5 linked regions of the Sus scrofa genome follow. The protein of the gene in region 1 interacts with the protein of each later gene in a pairwise test. Links are inferred from orthologs where the notes say so. Each region holds a gene or a part of one and is shown on either strand. Other genes may lie near its edges.

Evidence for each region.
Region 2: the proteins of NAPB (region 1) and STX5 interact in binary tests that used the Homo sapiens proteins (3 or more experiments, as listed by UniProt). The two-hybrid records come from large-scale screens. The link is inferred for Sus scrofa from reciprocal best matches to the Homo sapiens genes NAPB and STX5.
Region 3: the proteins of NAPB (region 1) and STX16 interact in binary tests that used the Homo sapiens proteins (3 or more experiments, as listed by UniProt). The two-hybrid records come from large-scale screens. The link is inferred for Sus scrofa from reciprocal best matches to the Homo sapiens genes NAPB and STX16.
Region 4: the proteins of NAPB (region 1) and STX4 interact in binary tests that used the Homo sapiens proteins (3 or more experiments, as listed by UniProt). The two-hybrid records come from large-scale screens. The link is inferred for Sus scrofa from reciprocal best matches to the Homo sapiens genes NAPB and STX4.
Region 5: the proteins of NAPB (region 1) and STX6 interact in binary tests that used the Homo sapiens proteins (3 or more experiments, as listed by UniProt). The two-hybrid records come from large-scale screens. The link is inferred for Sus scrofa from reciprocal best matches to the Homo sapiens genes NAPB and STX6.

The regions. Positions count from the first base shown.
Region 1 is NC_010459.5:30,393,299-30,397,264, reverse strand, and holds the start of NAPB (beta-soluble NSF attachment protein), read left to right. Parts: upstream 1-1,159; 5' UTR 1,160-1,259; coding exon 1,260-1,357; intron 1,358-3,966. UniProt on the Homo sapiens protein: Required for vesicular transport between the endoplasmic reticulum and the Golgi apparatus.
Region 2 is NC_010444.4:8,940,782-8,944,295, forward strand, and holds part of STX5 (syntaxin-5), read left to right. Parts: intron 1-544; coding exon 545-615; intron 616-780; coding exon 781-836; intron 837-958; coding exon 959-1,029; intron 1,030-3,514. UniProt on the Homo sapiens protein: Mediates endoplasmic reticulum to Golgi transport.
Region 3 is NC_010459.5:58,838,856-58,843,140, forward strand, and holds the start of STX16 (syntaxin-16), read left to right. Parts: upstream 1-1,485; 5' UTR 1,486-1,942; coding exon 1,943-2,023; coding exon of another isoform or gene 2,024-2,074; intron 2,075-4,285. UniProt on the Homo sapiens protein: SNARE involved in vesicular transport from the late endosomes to the trans-Golgi network.
Region 4 is NC_010445.4:17,421,763-17,425,082, forward strand, and holds the end of STX4 (syntaxin-4), read right to left. Parts: intron 2,755-3,320; coding exon 2,617-2,754; intron 1,153-2,616; coding exon 1,042-1,152; intron 944-1,041; coding exon 863-943; 3' UTR 845-862; intron 752-844; 3' UTR 504-751; downstream 1-503. UniProt on the Homo sapiens protein: Plasma membrane t-SNARE that mediates docking of transport vesicles. Necessary for the translocation of SLC2A4 from intracellular vesicles to the plasma membrane.
Region 5 is NC_010451.4:122,542,568-122,546,081, forward strand, and holds part of STX6 (syntaxin-6), read right to left. Parts: intron 3,218-3,514; coding exon 3,092-3,217; intron 1,862-3,091; coding exon 1,755-1,861; intron 1,536-1,754; coding exon of another isoform or gene 1,499-1,535; exon of another isoform or gene 1-1,498. UniProt on the Homo sapiens protein: SNARE promoting movement of transport vesicles to target membranes. Targets endosomes to the trans-Golgi network, and may therefore function in retrograde trafficking.

The sequences.
Region 1 (3,966 bases):
ACTCCTGTGTTCACTGCTGCCTCTAATTTCCTGCCTCCTTCTTCCCCAATACTGCTCCAAATTAGCTCTTTGAAGTCAGAATAACAGATGCAGTGAAAGTAAATAAACTCTGGGATCTGAAGCTCCCTTCAGTCTGGAGTGCCTGCACTGCAAGCTCTGCAACATTTGCTTTAGTGACCTTTCTTTCTAGGAGTTTGGCCCTTCTTGCCTTTCTCTCAAGACAGCTTCATTTTCTTAAATGTATTTTGTGTGCCAGTGCCCACAGTGTATTTATTAATAGTTTGAAATTGTCACAAGTTCTCATTTGGCAGTGGTTTTCATATTTGCTTCACCACCTCTGCTTTAGCATTGCCAAATGTAAATGGTCTAGACTTTGTATGAAAAAATAACTCCCTCTGGGACAGTCCTGGAAGTTGCTGGCACACAATAGCCCCTATCTATGGATACCTCTCCTGGGAGATTCGAAGTCTTCCTGGCAGGGAGAATGGCTGTCCCAGAGGCCCACCCCACAATATGGCCAACATTATGTAAAGAGCAAGAGAGCTCAATTGCTCACATCCACTGAAAAGAATCCAGTCAATAAAAAGGGAGAATTATGCACATATTGCATATGTGCAAGTCTTCTATAGCCTAGGAAGAGACGCCTGACAGATCTAAACGCCTTGCTCTGGAGAAAAACATGGCTCTTCCTGCAGCTGTAGCTGGAGCGTGGGAAGATGGGCCAGTATCACAAGGTTTGTGCAGCTGCTTGGGTGGCCGCCTTACAGCGTGCTCTCAGAATGCAAGCGGTACAGTGGAGCTTTCCAGCCTGCCACCCGCCGTCTCCCGGTCCACGCCGTTATCCCGCGTCCCATCCATCCCGTTATCCCGTGTCCTCCCCGTCCATCCCCTGACCACGGTCGGTCGTGCTGGGCAGGGACTCCTGAACTAACGTGATGCTAGTGTTTGAGGCGGTCTTCCTTGGAAGCCGTGGGAACTTTTCCATTTCCCGCCTCCTTAAACTGTCAATACTCTCCTCGGTAGAGGGCCCTACAGAGGGTGAGGACCCCGGTCCCGAAGCCCCTGCCTCCAGCCGGCTCCGCGGCCTTCTGGGAGTTGTAGTTGACGCCTCGCACACTCCCGCCGCCAGGCCACCGCTCGGACTACAACTTCCGACAGGCTGCGCGCCGCGCCTGCGCGCCCCTCCGCTGCCAGAGGACGAGGCGCGGGAGACGCGTTCGGCTCGGGAGTAGCTTGTGGAGGCGGCCGCGGCTGTCGACATGGACAACGCAGGGAAGGAGCGAGAGGCGGTGCAGCTGATGGCGGAGGCCGAGAAACGAGTCAAGGCCTCCCACTCCTTCCTCCGCGGGCTCTTTGGGTGAGCGCCAGACCGCGCGGGTCCTGAGGGGAGGGTTTCCATTCCAGGAGGCGGCCCACACTTTACTCAGGGTCCCCGGGGCCTTCCACGCGCCCTTCAGGGGTCCCCTAGGATCCCCCGGGCACCCACAAACCTTTGGGGACCACCGAGCTCCCCCCATCCCCCCACGCGCACGCCAGGAAGTCTCTCCACCCCCCGGCCCCGCCCCCACACACCCCAGGGATCCCCAAGGGCACTCTATAACCCCCCCACACACGCCCTCCTGGGACCCTCTCGGCCACCCCGACACTCTCCAGGGATTCCCTAGGACCCTCAAGCGCGCACCCTCCCCGACCTGGCGTTCGTGGCCCTCCCCACCGCAGCCACACGGGTTTGTTATTTCTCCACGCGTAGCTCAGGAGACCTGAGTGGGTGGAGGCGCTGGGAGGGTGGGCGGCGGGCTGGTGGTGGGGCCTAGCTTCCCGCATTCCACCACCCTGTGCCCGCGCCCCTTGCGCCAGGTACACATTTAATAAATACCCGTGGGAGGAACGAGTACGTTTTCTTCGTAGAAGGTTCATGTGAAACCCAGCCCAGGGCTTCCTACGGATTAAGGATAACGTAGCTCCTCTTTTAAGTCTGCGTCTTTGGGGAATCCCGTCCATTTTCAGTGATTCTTCTGTGCTTTCCTAGGGAAGGTCTTAAATTCGGACTTCCCAAAAAAGCAGAGCCTGCACTGACAGTTCTTGGACAGTAGAATATGTGAATGATTCAGCTGTTTAGGATGAGAGAGGCGGAAAATTCGTGGTGTTTTTCCGTTTTTCCCTTTGGAAAGGGAAAGATCCTCTGCGGACACCCAGAGCAAGTTTTTATTCTGAGGAGGACCAGGGACCCATCCTTAACTGTTGCGCTATTAGACACAGGTTTATTTCAGTTTAGAACCTGCTCGTTTTGCCACCCTCGTTCTTTTGGTTGTAATACTTAATCGTTGTTGAGCATCTCCATGAAATGCTAACTGCAGGTTTCACGCAGTGCTGGAGTGCGGGCTCAAAGGTACCAAAGGTCATTTATCCCAGCTGGTTTCTCAATTTCTCAGGTGATGTGAAGTTTGGATTATAGCAGTGAATTATAAATTTATTCCCCCCTTAAAAGTTAGGACAGTACATAAGGAGCCACTGCTTCTTACTTGATGGGAACACCAAACAAGAGTCCTTTCTCTGGTTCACAAAACAATTACAATTTATTCAATAAAATTTAACCACATAGCACCTCATGCCTAGAGGCAGTCTTAATGGCTCAGCATCTCAAGTCTGCATGGGCTTCCCTGGATGAGAACCTGTAATTGGCAGGGGAAAAAGCCTCAGGCACTTGATGCTTCTCAGGGGAGTGCCCCTTTCTATGCGGAGATGTTGCGGTGCTGTTTTTGTCACACTAGGCCAAATCTTGAGCCAGTAATTCTAAAAGGATTTTGAAAAGGCTTTTTGTTTTTAGAGAAAGGTCTTTTTCCTCCTTGACTGTTGATCACCTGTTTCGTTGGCAGGCTTTGATCCTCACCTTCACACTCAGTTTGCAGGAAAGTCAGTGCATCCTAGGTTGGGCCTGGATCCAGCAGGTCAGTCTGTCATTCTTGCTTTGGGCCTGGGGCATGTTCATTAGCCCCTCTGTGCCTAAGTTTCCTCTGCTATAAAATAGGGGTCACAGAGATACCTCAGTGAGTGAAGGTTCCAGGAGTATATGCTTGTAAAACATTGAGAATCATTAAAGATGGAGACGGTGAAATATTCATTAGCATATTCATTAGAATTGTCAGGCCCAGTTATTTTCAAGGAAGCAGAGAGCCAGACAGATCAAGTGGCTTTGCCAGGATTTCAGAGTCAAAGACCTTATGGACCGGATCATCAGTCTTTTCATGATGTAAAATATTTGAAAGAGCTTTGCCCCATGTAAGTGGTACTTATACTACGAGGACTGTGTGTTCAGTAATACTGGGCTCCAGAACAGCTTGGGGAAGATGCGTACTCAGTTCTCTGAGAGCTAATAGCATTATATAACTCCTTGAATCCAAAAACCAGGCCTGACTTTTCTGTTACTGTTGTGGGAAGAGTGATTCTGCACAGTGTTAGGTGTTTAGGATCTTACGTTACACCTGGCATCACTTGGAGCTGTCATCACCTTCTTAGGCGGGGGCACATGTCCCCCTGCCTCCCATCCCTCAGCCAAAGAATTCCCTGTCTGCTTGTTAAGCCACAGTGAACTCCATCTTCATGTCAGACTCCTCGGTAACACTCAGCCACAGAGTATCGAAGTATCACAAAGTCCATGTGCTTAAGAGCCAACAGTTGTGCTTTGAAGAGGGCAGTTGATGCTGCTTGGGACCAGGGCGGCCCTTACAAGGTGCCCAGCGGGCCACAGACCCCTCATCCCGGCTGCAGATTAAAACCTGATAGCAGTTGGTCCTCTTCACTCACTGTTGATACACCTCCTGCGCCAGTTTTGTGGCAATGCTGTATTCTCACTACTATTCTGTAGCGCTTCCTTTTTTGTTGCTTTCAGTAAAATTAGATGAAAACACGCATTATGTGTTCCGAGGAAAAGGCAGTCACACATTCTCCTATGTGTAAGATGCAAGT
Region 2 (3,514 bases), on another chromosome or scaffold:
GAACCTGTGACGTCATGGTTCCTAACCACTGAGCCATGACGGGAACTCCCCCCCTTATATTTTTTAATTTTAGCAACAACAATAGGAGGTGTCTTCGTTTTATAGAAGAGGAAATAGAGATTCAGAATGGTTTATGTAACTTGTCCCAAGCTCCCATCTAGTGATTGGTGATGTCAAGATTTGAACCTGTGTCTACCTGTGTGGACTGTCTGGTGGAGGATGCCACTGGTGCTGGAGGATGAGTTTAGCAGACACCTGAGGAATAGTGAGAGCTGGAAATGGGGAGGGAAAGCTAAAGTTCTGCCTCTTGGAGTTCCATGGCTCAGCAGAAATGAATGTGACTAGCATCTGTGAGAAGGCGGGTTCGATCCCTGGGCTCCCTCAGTGGGTTAAGGATCCAGCTTTGCTGTGGCTGTGGCTGTGGCCGGCAGCAGCAGCTCCAGTTTGACCCGTAGCCTGGAAACTTCCATGTGTTGCGTGGGCGGCCCTAAAAAGAAAGCCAAAAAAAAAAAAAAAAGGTCTACCTCTTGACATTGCCTTTCAGAATGGAATCCAGACAAACAAGCCAGCTCTGCGGGCTGTCCGGCAGCGCAGTGAATTCACCCTCATGGCCAAGTGAGTTGAGAGTAGTTTTGTGGTGGGATGACTAGCATCTAAAGAGAAGTAGCCTTGCCTGTGGCCTGGGCTCCAGGGGGGCTGGGGTTGGTGGTGCTGGTGCTAATGTGGGAAAGGCCCTCTCCTTCGCTTCCCCGCAGCGTTCTCACTAACTCCCGTTTGCAGGCGCATTGGCAAAGACCTCAGCAACACCTTTGCCAAGCTGGAGAAGCTGACAATCCGTGAGTGTTCTTGGGGCGTTGGAGAGCTGGGGCAGTGAAGGAACCAGAGAGGGCTGAGGAGCCGGACTGCTTGAGCCTTGTCTTCAACCTCACCTGTCATGGCCTCTTGTTTATCTCTGTAGTGGCCAAGCGCAAGTCCCTCTTTGATGATAAAGCAGTGGAAATCGAGGAGCTAACTTATATCATCAAACAGGTGAGCACCTAGCGATCGGGAAAGCCCAGCACCCCAATCAGATCACTCCCATCATTTTTCCCTGCTGTGGGAGCAAGTTTCTAGAGCCCGCCCCCAACATCCTGCTCATCCATTGTGTCAGTAGGCACTTAGTGGTCATCTACTGTGTACAAAGCACTGTGCTGGGTATTTGCTGCATAAAAGTTACGAGGCAGGATTCCTGCTCTCCAGAGCTTATTGTCAGAGTTCCCCTTGTGGTGCAGTGGAAACGAATCTGACTAGGAACCATGAGGTTGCAGGTTCGATCCCTGGCCTCACTCAGTGGGTTAAGGATCCAGCGTTGCCGTGAGCTGTGGTGTAGGTCGCAGATGCTGTTTGGATCTGGCGTTGCTGTGGCTCTGGCGTAGGCCAGCGGCTACAGCTCCGATTTGACCCGTAGCCTGGGAACCTCCATGTGCTACGAGTGCAGCCCTAAAAAAAAAAAAGAGCTTATTGTCTAGAAAAGGTATCCGCCCCCATAAACACACGCAGTGAATAGGAGGCGAGTGGTACAGAAAAGATATCCTTTTCTTTTTCCTTTTTCTTTTTCTTTTTACAGCTGACCTGCGGCATATGGAAGTTCCCAGGCTTAGAGGTCGAATCGGAGCTGCAGCTGCCAGCCTACGCCACAGCCACAGCCACATGGGATCTGCAATACATCTCTGACCTACACCATGGCTTTCAGACCCACACTGCTGCTTGTGGCAACTCCAGATCCTTAACCCAATGAGTGAGGCCAGGGATCAAACCCACATCCTCATGGACACTATGACAGGTTCTTAACCCGCTGAACCACAACAGGAACTCCCAGAAAAGGTCTTACAAAAAGATAAATGAGATAGTCCAGGGACGCTGGGAAAGATTTTATAGAGAAGGTGAAATCTGAGCTGGTTTCAAGGCTCGTATAGAGGCAGTGGAAGAATATTCCAGAAAGAGGAAACAGTGTGTGCAGTGGCATGTCTCGTAAGAGGGAAAATTCCGGGCTCTGCTCGGAAGTCACCTGCCCAGGGAGGCCTGCTGTCACTGTACTGTTCAACACCCCCGCACCCCAAACTCTGATCTCCCTTCCCTTGCTCTGTTTTCTTTCTCTTTCTTTTTTTTCGCTTTTTTTCTTTTTTAAAAAATTAATTAATTTTATTACATTTATAGATGTACAACAATCATCACAACCAAATTTTACAGCATTTCCATCCCAAACCCTCATCTGTTTTCTTTTTTTATAGCATTTTTATGTACATTCTAATGGTTTCTGTGATTACCTTTCTTATGTTTATGGTTTGTCTCTGTTTCCTCCCACTTACCTCATCTCCCTCAAAAAGAAAAAAAAAGTGTGAATGCCATAACGGCAGAGATTTTTCTTCCTGTTTGTTTATAGATGTATCCCAAGTGCCTGTAACAGGGTCTGGCATATAGTGGATACTCAATATTTGTTGATCAGTTGAGTGACTGGCCGCAGATAAGGCTGGAAGAGTAGATTGGTAGCTGGTTGTGAAGATCACTGTGGGTGGACACTAGTCATATTTGTTTCCGCTGAGCCACAACAGCAACTCCCTAATAGTTTGATTCTTTTCTTTCTCAGAACAATGTAATAAGAATAAAATGAGAAATTGAATCATCTTCTTTTTTTTTTTTGGTCTTTGTGCCTTTTCTAGGGCCACTCCCACGGCATATGGAGGTTCCCAGGCTAGGGGTCTAATTGGAGCTGTAGCCACCGGCCTACGCCAGAGCCACAGCCACTCGGGATCCGAGCCACGTCTGTGACCCACACCACAGCTCTCGGCAACGCCGGATCCTTAACCCACTGAGCAAGGCCAGGGATTGAACCCGCAACCTCATGGTTCCTAGTAGGATTCGTTAACCACTGCGCCATGATGGGAACTCTGAAATTGAATCATCTTAGGGTAAAAAAAAAACAACCCTGGAGCGTGGATGAACTGAGAAGCTAGGGAGGAGACTCGTGTGATTGCCAGTAGGAAGGTGATTATGGCAGAGGCCAAAGGGCAGACACATTCAAGAGATGCTGTGCTGAGACCAAAAGAGAGGGTTCCATTAAGTCTTGGGGCGTTATTGCATAGGCATTTAAGAACCACTGACTGCGGGAGTTCCCGTAGTGGCTCAGCGGTAATGAACCCCGCTAGGATCCATGAGGATTCAGGTTTGATCCCTGGCCTCCCTCAAGTTGGTTAAGGATCAGGCATTGCCACAGACATAACTCGAGTCTGGCGTTGCTGTGGCTGTGGTGTAGGCTGGCAACTGCAGCTCTGATTTGACCCCTAGCCTGGGAACTTCCATATGCTGTGGGGTCGGCCCTCAAAAGCAAAACAAAAGAAAACGAACAAAAGAACCACTGACTGGATTCAGACAGACTTCAAAACCTGGGCTCACCACTCATGGGTAAGCTACCTGACTACCCTGAGCTTCATTCCCCTTATAAATAAAAAGGCCACAATAATAGTACCTACCTCAG
Region 3 (4,285 bases), about 28 Mb from region 1:
CTCGGCTCGCCGGGGTAGGGGAAACCCGTCCTGCCGGAGCCCCGAGCCCGGGGAAGGCGAGGCCGTTCCGCGATCCCGACCCGCTCAGGCCCGCGCGCCCAGCCCAGGCCGCTTCTGGCTTGGGCTTCGGCTCGGGGGCGCCCATAGGGTAACCTCCTGCCACCGGTGGGGTGGCCTTGGGCGGCTCGTGGCGTGGCCCCGGGGCCAGACACCCCGCAGGACTCTGGCCTCCCTTGCGGGGTGACCGCAGGGCCGCTGCCCGCCGCGTTCGGGCTCGGGTAGCTGGATCCCAACGCGCTCAAGCGGAGCCCCCTCCCGAATCCCGCCTATCCGGACACCCAACAGAGTGTCGGGGTCGTGGGGGGTCTCCCGGACCCGATCCGACTGCGGGAAAACGAGCCGGGGGCGCCGGGGGCGCGGGGCCAGGCTTGGCACGCGGGCCCAGGGGGTAGGGAAAAGTTGTTGGGGGCGGGGGGCTGTCGAAGTTTCGGGGAACTTTTCCACTTGAGATTCTACAACCCTGCAGTGCCCCCTACAGAAAGCTGCAGCCGGGGAGGGCGGGCGCCCCCCACGACCCCCCCGGCTGCCAGCAGCGGCGCGGCCCAGGCGGCCTGGAGCTCTAGCTGTAGCTTTGGCATTTTTTTTTTACCCCCCCTCCTGGTTGTTTTTCTGATACATCTTTTTTTTTCAGAATTGGAGAAAAAAAAAAAAAAAAAGCGAGCGCGAGCCGCCGCCTGCAGTGGAGCGTGCTCGGCCTCCAGAGGCAGTCGTCTCCAACTTTTCCTCTCCCTCCCCAACTCCGCGCGCGTCTCGAAACTTCGGCGCTGCTGGAGCCCAAATTTGCCTGCCGCTCGACTCCACTCTAATAAGCGCGCCAAGGCCCCTGGCACTTGTCTGCAACGTGGGGGCCACGCTCTCGAGGCTCAGGCCTGCCCGCAGGCCCGCTCCCGGTGCCTAGGCCCAGTTAGGGAAGGGGAAACCGAGCGGTCCCGGGAGCACCCCGGGAGAGGGCGGAGCGCGCCCGTGCCCCGGGGCAGAGGGGTAGGGATCTCCCGCGCCCGGAACGTTGCGAGCAAGGCTTGTGAACGTCGCAGGGGGGCACTCGCGAGAGACGGACAGGAAGAGGGCCAGGGGGAACGCCAGAACCCGGGACCGTAGCACGGAAACGGCCCGGGGCTGAGCAGCAGGCAGATCCGGGGATGGAGGGAGCCGGAGAAGAGGAGTGAGGAGGCCGTGGGGGCAGGCCCTGCTGCCCTCCTGGAGGCCGGCAGCCTGCTGTGGCAGTGGAGAAGCGGGCTGCCCACAAAGGGAAGGGGTCAGGAGGTCGGGCCCCGGCCCTAGCAGGCTCCGACAAGGCCCCAGTGGGGAGCAGCAGCAGCCCAGGGCCCAGGCCTGGCCTCGGGTTGGCCAAAGGGGGCCTAAACCAGGCCTCCCCGGCCTCTGCTGGGGGAACTGAGCCAGAGGCAGGCCTCAGGGCACGGCCCAGACGCGTGTGAGCCCTGCTAGAGCGAGGGAACCAGAGGGAACCAGGGCCCTAAAGGGTGTCAGAGACTAATGTGGTAGGGGGCTTCAGAGCCTCCCAGTCCAGAGCCGGATTGGCGAGTTAGACGCTTGTAGATCCGAGGTCGGATTGGGGAGGGGGTCTCTGGGAAGTTGGCTAGCAACGCAAGGATTGGGGGGATTTAAGTGCTTAGAGATCGAAGCAGGTCGTGGGGAGGGGGACTCAGACAATTGGAAAGCCTGGGCGGTTATTTGGGGAGGGGTCTTTGCGCTCAGAGGAAGCTCGAAGCAGCACCTGCTTGGCTAAAGGCCTGAGGCTTTGTCAAGAGAAGCTTCTGTGGAGGGGGGGGCCCGACTAGGCCAAGCTGCAAGAAAGAAAGTGAATAAACCTGGACTTGAAGTGGGTGGGGGCCCCTGAGAGGGGAATCACAAAGGGTGAGCCATGGCCACCAGGCGTTTAACCGACGCTTTCTTGTTGTTGCGGAATAATTCCATCCAAACCCGGCAGCTGTTAGCCGAGCAAGTGAGTAGTCACACCACCTCCAGCCCTCTGCATTCACGTAGCATTGCTGCGGTGAGTCTCTTGGCGGCCTCTCCGACACACGCCCCGTGTGCACTGCGGCTCTGCCTGTCTGTCTGTCTCTGTCTGTCTCTCTGTTTAAAAAAGAAGATAAGTCTAGCACGGAAGTGCAAGGTCTCTTGGCAAAGGTCCGAGAGCAGCGATAACCCTGGATGGGGGAAAAAAAAAAACAACAGTTTGAGGCCCCCGTTCCACCTCTGCCTTGCCCTCTCTCACTTCCGCATCCCTTCCAATTCCTCCCCCTTCCCCCCCCCAGCCGTCACTGCACGACCGGCCGCCTCCAATTTACATATGTTTTAGCGCTAAGATTTGGAAGCTTTGGGCCTTTTTTGTTTCATTTTGTTTTAGCCGCCCCCCCCTCCGCCCCCGCATCCTGAGCCTCGCTTTGGTTCTCAGGGTCGAGATGCAGGATCTCAGACCTAAATCCTTGCAAATGAACCATACCCTCCCCCAAACGAGGAAGGAGCTGGTGTTTTATTATTTTTTTTTTCCCCCCCTGTTTTCTTTTAATGGCCTCGCAGCCCTCTGGGTGGCCGTGTTCCCTGTGAATAATTGCTTCCCTGTTTTTTTCCTGGGGGCTCTTTTTGTGAGGCTGTAAGGTGCTAGCTTCCTCGTTTACCATTCCCAGACAGGAAATTAAGCGTTCCCCTCCATGCGAACTTTAAAAACAAAAAGACAAACAAAAAAACCAGGGCGTGTATGTGAAAATTAAACCCCCCGCCCCAATAGCACAGGGTTTTCTATTTAATTCACCTGAACCTTTCCTTAGCCCAGCAGTAGAATCTTTTACTGGGGAGGGCCTGGGAAGATGACTGTTGTGGGGGTTTGTTTGTTTTGGCTGAGGGTTACTTTCCCTTTTCTGAACCTCAGTTTCCTGCTCTGTTGAATAAGGGGGTGAGAGGGGGTGGGCTCGGGGAGAGGGCCTTGGTGGGCTCTGTGCTGTCTTGAATTGGAAGGTGAAGGAAGACCTGAAACTATAGTCTGTCGTGGGCTCCTTGCTGGAGCCAGGCTGAGTCTGAAAAGAAGCGCATTGGAGAAAGAGCCAGTGGAGTCTGGCTGAGACCGTATTCTTGGGGGTTATACTGGACACACTCAGTTTGGGGGACCTCACCCTTGTTTCACCTCTTAGGGACTGTTTTCCCCTTTTCGTTTTTTTCTTTATGACTTGATCTAAATGCTTCAGAAGAATTATGCCATCTGTCCTGCTCAGTGGCAGAGCGCCTGCAAAGGCAGTTTCTTCCCTTTTGTAAATCACAAGTGCAGAATGTCTTTGGCCATCTTGCTTATAGAGAAAAGCTGTTTTAAACTGTGTGAGCAATTTTAGGCATAAAATCACAGTCAATTTAGGTCAAAAAGCATAGAAAATGGGGTGTTTAGGCTTTCATTTGCTCAGGAATTTGAAGGTTTTTTACATTTGTACACTGAAAGAAATGGGATTTTATTGAAGTAAGTGCAAAAGGGAAAAGGGCTAATTCTAGCGCTGATTTTGAAAAGAATGTTCTGAAATAAGCCAAGACGGAGAGCGTAGAATTGAATGGGAAAAAAAAAAAAAAATTCCTTAAGGGAACTTTAGTTTTGTTAAATAGGATGTAAAAATTAAATGGTTCCTTAAATGGCTTGATTTTATGCTACCTCATGGGGGGAAAAAAAAAGCCAGAATTAAAACTCTTGTTAAGATTTCTAAGATATCAGTTTTAACTGATTTTAAAACATAATATTTGCCTTAAAATGTTTAATCATTTAAGGTTCAAAATACACTGAACCGTTGGATAGCAGGAGGCTTTTTTTCTTTTTTAATCATTGGGTCAGATGGTATAAAAATCTGGTGTCTAATAAGACGGGCAGCTTTTTAAAAGTGCATCTCTAAGTCAAAACCTGTTTTTAAAATGGTTTGCTAAGTTAGGCAATTTAAAAAATATATAAACTAAGTCAATTTAAAATATGTAGCTAAAATACACAATTTGGAAAAATAGATATGTCAGAAAATGCACAGATGTATTTAGCTATCTCCTACATATTTTTGAAAATAGATTTCTAACTCAAACTGAAAAAACATGTCTAAGGCAGAACACTAGAAAATATTTTCTGTGTATTACACCATGTAACATGTTAACACATATTGGTTTGACTATTTAAAATCTTTTTCAGATCATTTTTAAGCAATTGGATCATTTAAAATATCTTTGTAGTTGGTTCAGACTATTT
Region 4 (3,320 bases), on another chromosome or scaffold:
CGGCTCGGATCCTGCATTGCTGTGGTGTGGTGTAGACTGGCAGCTACAGCTCCAATTAGACCCCTAGCCTGGGAACCTCCATATGCCGTGGGAGTGGCCCTAGAAATGGAAAAAAAAAAAAAAAAATTAACAGAGGCAATTATTTGTCACAGTGCCTCTTCTTGGCCTCAGCAGCGCCCTCAGATGCCACACACACACACTCAGCTCACCCGTGTCCAGCCTGGCCTGGCCCAGCCTCGCTGCTGTGGGGTTAGGTGGTCACGGGGTCTTTCCCCAGGGACAGTGGGTTGATGTGGGTGTTACCCCCTCCCGGCCCCACCTGTTCTCATGGGAGAGTAGAAGGGCAGTGGCAGGCTGGCATGGCCACAGCACCCAGGACAGTCTGATCTGAGGCTACCTGGGCTGGGCCTGTCCGCAAGGGTGGCCAGGAGGTGGAAGGCGGTGGAGACCTGGAGGCCCTGGACCAGCCTTTTCAGCAACACATGTGCAAAGGAGATTCTCCAAACTTTTTTTTTTTTTTTTTTAATTTCTTACAAAACCACGGGTCCCAGCCAAAGAGGACACGGCAGGCCTGCCCCCAGGCATGGTGGCCCAAGGGGGGGAGGCCCCATGGATGAGTGGCTGCCGGCCCTGGAAGAACCGTCTGCCCCTCTGGCCAGTGTGAGGAAGGGGTCGGGCTGGAGGCTCTGTCCTGCCCACCCCTGGCTTCGGGGAGGGAAGGCAGCCCCTGGGTCCCTGGTGCTCTTAGCGCCTGCAAGGGAAGGAGGGAGAAGAGGGTCTGAGGGGAGGAGGAGAGGCTGGGGGCAGGGAGGGGGCAGGCTGGGGGGGCCCCACAGAATCTCACCGAGAATCCACGATGCTGTCACACCAGAATGGAGACGCTAATGATGACCACCAGGATAAGGAGAGTGACGGACAAACAGATGGCGATAAAGACTTTCTTCTGTAGGAGAGGAGGAGGGGGGATGGTCGGGGAAACTCTCGGGGGGCGGGGGGAGAGAGCCCCCCCCAGGGCAGGGGAGTGGGTGGCGGGACGCTCACCTTCCTTGCCTTCTTCTGGTTCTCCAGGGCCATCTTGACGTGTTCCTGCCCACGTTCCACATAGTCTGCTGAGCTCAGAATGTTCTTCTCGATTCGGTTGATCATCTCCCCCTGCTCAGAAGAGGAGGGAGGGTTCAGGCGGGTAGGAGGGACTCGGGGTGGAGGCCCAGCAGCTCCTCTGTCTGCCCACCACAGCCCCAAGACTGAAGGGCGTTCCTGGCTGAAAACAGGGCACTAACAAAGGCATGGAGAAGTTCCCATTGTGACTCAGCGGGTTAAGAACCTGATTCGTACCCAGAGGATGCGGGTTCGATCCCTGGCCTCGCTCAGTGGATTAAGGATCCGGCGTTGCCGTGAGCTGTGGTGTAGGTCACAGATGCAGCTCAGATCTGGTGTTGCTGTGGCTGTGGTGTAGGCTGGCAGCTGCACCTCTGATTCAGCCCTTAGCCTGGGAACTTCCATATGCCCTGGGTGCGGCCCTAAAAAGACAAAACAAAAAACAAAAGTGGAGGCAGGACCACATCTGGCCGAAGTTCACACTCCAAAGGGGGCTTCCAAGCCCCCTTCTACCTTGTGGTCCCTTCTGCCCTGCTCCCTTGCCACCTATAGCCTCTACTGGCAGGGCTGGCTGGGAGCTGGGTGCCTTTAATGGCTCATATCTTTTCATGGAGGGCAAGCTTCTGTCCCCTCACAAATCAGTCTGAATTCACCTGTTCTAGGCCTGACTCCCAGCTGCTGTGAAGCTCCCTGATCCCTGTCTCCTCCCGGCACTGCCAGCCTTCAGGTCCTGGTGCTCCTGCTGAGCAAAATCTCTTCCCTGGGAAGAGCAATGGCTCCAGCACTCACGGGGTAAGAGCTCCTTCTGGACGGGGTTGGAAGCACCCCTTCTCTTATAGACCAGGGCTGGGAGAAGAACACCATCGCCCGCCCCATGCTTGTGCAAGTTCTGGGAGGCAGGTCCTCTGGGGGGCAGTTCAGGTGCTCTCAGAGGTATAAGGGTGGAGTCTGTTAGTGGAGGGGGAGCCAAAGTTGGGGCCATGCCCGAGGTGGGCTCAAGTTTGAGGACTGGGGTGCAGTGCACAGAAGAGTGGCCATCTGGGTAGCTGTTGAGGAGGATACGATTTTTCTTTTCTTTCTTTCTTTTTTTTTTTTTCTTTTTAGGGCTGCACCCATAGCATATGGAAGTTCCCAGGCTAGGGGATGAATTGGAGCTGCAGCTGCCGGCCTACGCCACAGCCAAAGCGATGCAGGATCCGAGCCGCATCTGCAACCTACACCACAGCTCACAGCATTGCCAGATCCTTGACCCATGGAGCGAGGCTAGGGATCGAACCCACATCCGCATGGATACTAGCTGGGTTCATTATCGCTAAGCCCCAGGGGGAACTCCTGAGGAGGACGCAATTTGGAGGCACAGCTAAGATGGAAGTACAGGCCAGTCTGGAGGAGAACAGAAGCCTCGCAGAGAGAGGCTAAGAGTGGAGGTGGGCGGACAGTCACAGCAGGGGTTCTGGTTGAGCAAGGTCTCACATGTGGGGGCAGGATCAAGCCCAGCCGGCTGCCTGGGGCGCCCACCTGCATCTCCACCTCCGTAGCCAGAAAAGTGAAGATCTCATGAAGTTCACGGATACTGCGCTCGAGCTGCTGGATCTCGCTGTGCCGGGCCGAGATCTCATTTAGAGCCTGTCGAGTCACCTGTGTGTCCTTCAGTATCTGGAGAGTGGACAGGGGTGGAGGGAGAGGTCACAGGGAAACCAGCCATAGGCTCAGAAGTTCATGGTGATGCATGAAAGTAAACTCAAAATGGCTTAAAGACTTAAATATAAGACAAGACACCATCAAACTCCTGGAAGAGAACAAAGGCAAAACATTCTCAGACATCAACCTTATGGCTATTTTCTCCCAAAGCAACAGAAATAAAAGCAAAAATAAACCAATGGGACCTAATCAAACCGACAAGCTTTTGCACAGCAAAGAAAACCAAAAAGAAAACAAAAAGACAACTTACAGAATGGGAGAAAATAGCTTCAAATGATGCAACTGACAAGGGCTTAATCTCTAGAATATATAAGCAACTTACACAACTCAACCACAAAAAAGCCAACAACCCAATGGAAAAATGGGCAAAAGATCTGAACAGACATTTCTCCAAGGAAGATATACAGATGGCCAACAAGCACATGAAAAAATGCTCAATGTCCCTGATTATTAGAGAAATGCAAATCAAACCTACCACGAGATACCATCTCACACCAGTCAGAATGGCCATCATTAATAAG
Region 5 (3,514 bases), on another chromosome or scaffold:
ACACTGTTATGGCCTTTGTTTCTTATTTGAAGCTCTATGTTCCACAGGTTTTATGCTATTAAAAAAAGTTAATCCGTCACTATTCCAGTGGACTTTAGAGAGGGAGCAGAGATGAAAGGTTGTGTTCTCTTCACCATCTTTAAATGGATGTCCGCCAGGCTCTGCTGTCTCCCTCACATGGATAATTGCTCAAGCAATTAGTCCTTTCCTATTCCCATAATGAATTTTAGGGTAGGTACGCATTTTAGACAAATTAATCTGAATGCCTAGATTCCTGTTCCGCCAGCTTCCTGGTCTCCCTGCGTCTGGTCTTTTCCACTATGGTTCACCATCTAGACCACAGATACATGGGCTTCCCCCCAAAGGTAAACCCGATCATGGCATTACTAACAACAGCCTTCCTTCGCTGGGGTTCTATTTCCCATTACCCTTTGCATAAAAAGTCCTACCTCCTTAACATGGCTTCTAAGGCTTTCTCTGATCCGTTCTCTGCCTCCTTGATTTGACTCCTGCAACATCCCTCTCAATCCCCATGCTCTGGACACACTCACCTTCTCTGTTCCATGTACTTTTCCAGCTCTGAATTGTCACAGGGGCTCTTCCGTCCTTTCATTAGACCCCCTTTCCGCTCCCTCCTCCCACCCCCAATCTCACCCCGCCTGGCTGCCTTCTACTCATCCTTCCAGTCCCTGTTAACCCCTCTTCTCGTCTCAGGGACTTTAGACGTTAGGTCTGCAGTTTAGGCTATCAGGGCTCTCCAGGCACTCGCACTTCCCCCATCATGGCACCCTGCACTTCTCTGTCACCATTAATGACCTGTAGCAATCCATCCAGTGGCCTCTATGATGACAGAGACACCGTCTATTCTCCTGGCTCTTCTTTGGATACCAGAGGACTTCCCACAGAACAAGATGCCCAGTTTGAATCTGTAATGAATGAATCTATGATGTGGAACACAAAACTGAGGTAGAAGAGTGTCTGAAATATCCTAGCAGAACTGCGTTTTTTTTTGTTTGTTTGTTTTTTTCAGAAAAAAATATTTGTAAAATAGGGTGTTATGTGGCATCATTTAAGAATGCTGGTTTGGGTATCATACTTTAGGAGCACATGGGAGTGCCCTGCTGGATCGGTGGGTTAGCGTTGGCACTGTAGCAGCTCAGGTTTAAATCCCTGGCCCGGGAACTTCCACATGCAGTGGGCATGGCCAAAAAAGGATGGGTGGGGTGCACAAAGAGATCATTCTTAAGGAAAAACGAAAAAATCCAGTTATGTCTTTTGTGTTTTCACTTTTTATTTTGGAGGAGGAAGATTTTTTTATTAATGGGAACTAAATTTATACTTTATTTCCTTTATGGAAATCAAAATTTAAGATGCAGAGCAAAAAGTTCTATTTGGTGTAGCTGGAGAGTCACAGGATGTTAAGGTGACCTAGGTCCTCTCCTCTTTGGGACAAGTATCTCCAGAGGTCACACAGCCATTATCAGTTTCACATGTCCATTCATAACAGCACTTCAAGTGTCCAGAGGAATTTGCACCTGTTTTTTCAGGTGTTTAAAAATATTAATAACTTTGCCTAAACCCTGTTGAAAATTGCATCTGACAGATTTGCTTCTTTTGGAGAGGCTAGTTTGTAAAACAGAATAAAGATGCAGCTATAAACAAAACAGCTTTTGGTTTTTCTAGCCATGTAACTGTCAGGCTTTTTAGGGGTCCTCCCCACCTCCCTGCAGCAAGAGGGGCGTCTCAGCACTCACACTGCCTGCTCCTCCAGCTCCCCTCCGATGCGCTGGGACATGTTCTTCAGCACCCCGATGCTGCCAGAGACCAGCTCCAACTGCTCGTCCTGCTGTTCCACGATCAGCTGGTGCCAGAGAAATGGGAAATAAGCAATTAAATCCATCTTACCTGATTCCAAGCCCAGCACCCGAGCAGCTGCTAGCTTCTTTGCCAACTCGGGACAATTCACATTCAGAAGCAAAGCCCAGAAATCAAAGGACCAGACCGTCGCCTCCGAGAACATGCTGCTCAAAAGGCTGGGTTGTCAAGCTATGGCCATCCCCTGCTGCTCCAACTTGTGAACAGTCAGCAGGGCTTGAAACCACCCAGGGAGATTTACCCTGCTTGGCTGAAGTCCAACAAGGAGCAGACAATAGGCAAAAGCACCTGTGCAGTGACCAGAGACACATGGGGAAGCTTGGGAAAAGGAAGCCCGCTGCCAGGGTCAAGGTCTCAATCCGCCACAGCCAGCCACAGCTTAACTACAAGAGAAAGTCTGGCAGATCTTCTCTGGACGTGAGAAAACCATGCACACAGAGTCTACTGCTCCCTCCTCAAGGACAAACTAGAAGAGGCTCTGAGGCAGCAAGTTACCTCCAGGACAACTTTTGAGCAAGAATTACTTTAGCCTCCTCACTTTTTATTAAAAAAAAAAAAGTTTTCTTGGCTAATAGAGATTTAAGTAGACAACTGGTTAGGCCAATGTGCTAATGGAAGAGGAACATGTAACTTATGGGTATACAGGAAACACCATATTTAAGAACCAATAGTTCTGACACATAGATAATCCTCAAATGCCCAGACATTTTACCATTAGCTTCCTTTTAGTAATATGACGGCACAGCAGAAGCAATTATACAGATGTAACCAATCTCACCTTCCTTTTACCCTTTAACTTCCACCAAAGCAATCACTTTTTATGTATAATGGAACCAACAATAATTTTCAATGAAAAAACAAAGACTCAATTTTTCTGAAAGTGCCTTTGTGGAAATGAACAAAAAGCTGAGCTCACAAGTAGAGGATGCAGAAGAGGCTACTATTTTTAAGTCAATGGCCTCTGTTAGCTCTGGGTGTCTGGTCTGCTTGTCCTAAGAAATCTAATCAAGCTTGGTTCTCTTCAAGCTGTCATGCTCTGAAGGAAGCTGTAAACACCCTTGATACAGGCAATCATCACACAGGTAGACTCAGGCAGCTGCAGGGCGAGCTCGGGTCCATCCCGCCTGTCATTAGCAACAAAGGCCTGCTGGCAGGGGAGCGGAGGGAGGTGCCCCCACCTCCTACCTCCCTGTCCTCAGCTGTGGGTCTCAGGTACCTGCTGCTGTGCCTGCTGTTCCTCGATGAAATGGGAGTTGGCCAGCTGGAGCTCCCGGTCGAGGCGCCCATATTTATCCGTCGTCCCAGTGCTCCAGTTCTGCCCGCCACTGTCTCCTAGCAGGGCCTGCGAGGGCAAGGCAGAAGAAACAATTAGCACCTCTGAACGAGCGCCCCATCACCGTGATATAGAGAGCTCTCCCGCTGTGCATACGCCATCTTCTCTGGGGTCAGCCTTTTAGGTAGTGGTGGAGGCTGGTGCCTGCGTGGTACAATTTAACCAATGCTAGGAAGGAACTCTGTCTCCAAGATCTCCCAGTGAGACTTGCAAATGGGCTCTGTCCAATGAAATGCAAACAAAAGTCAACTTTAAATCAACAAATGCCTGTGTGGGTACTGCTTTATGGATCTAAAAAACACTTGG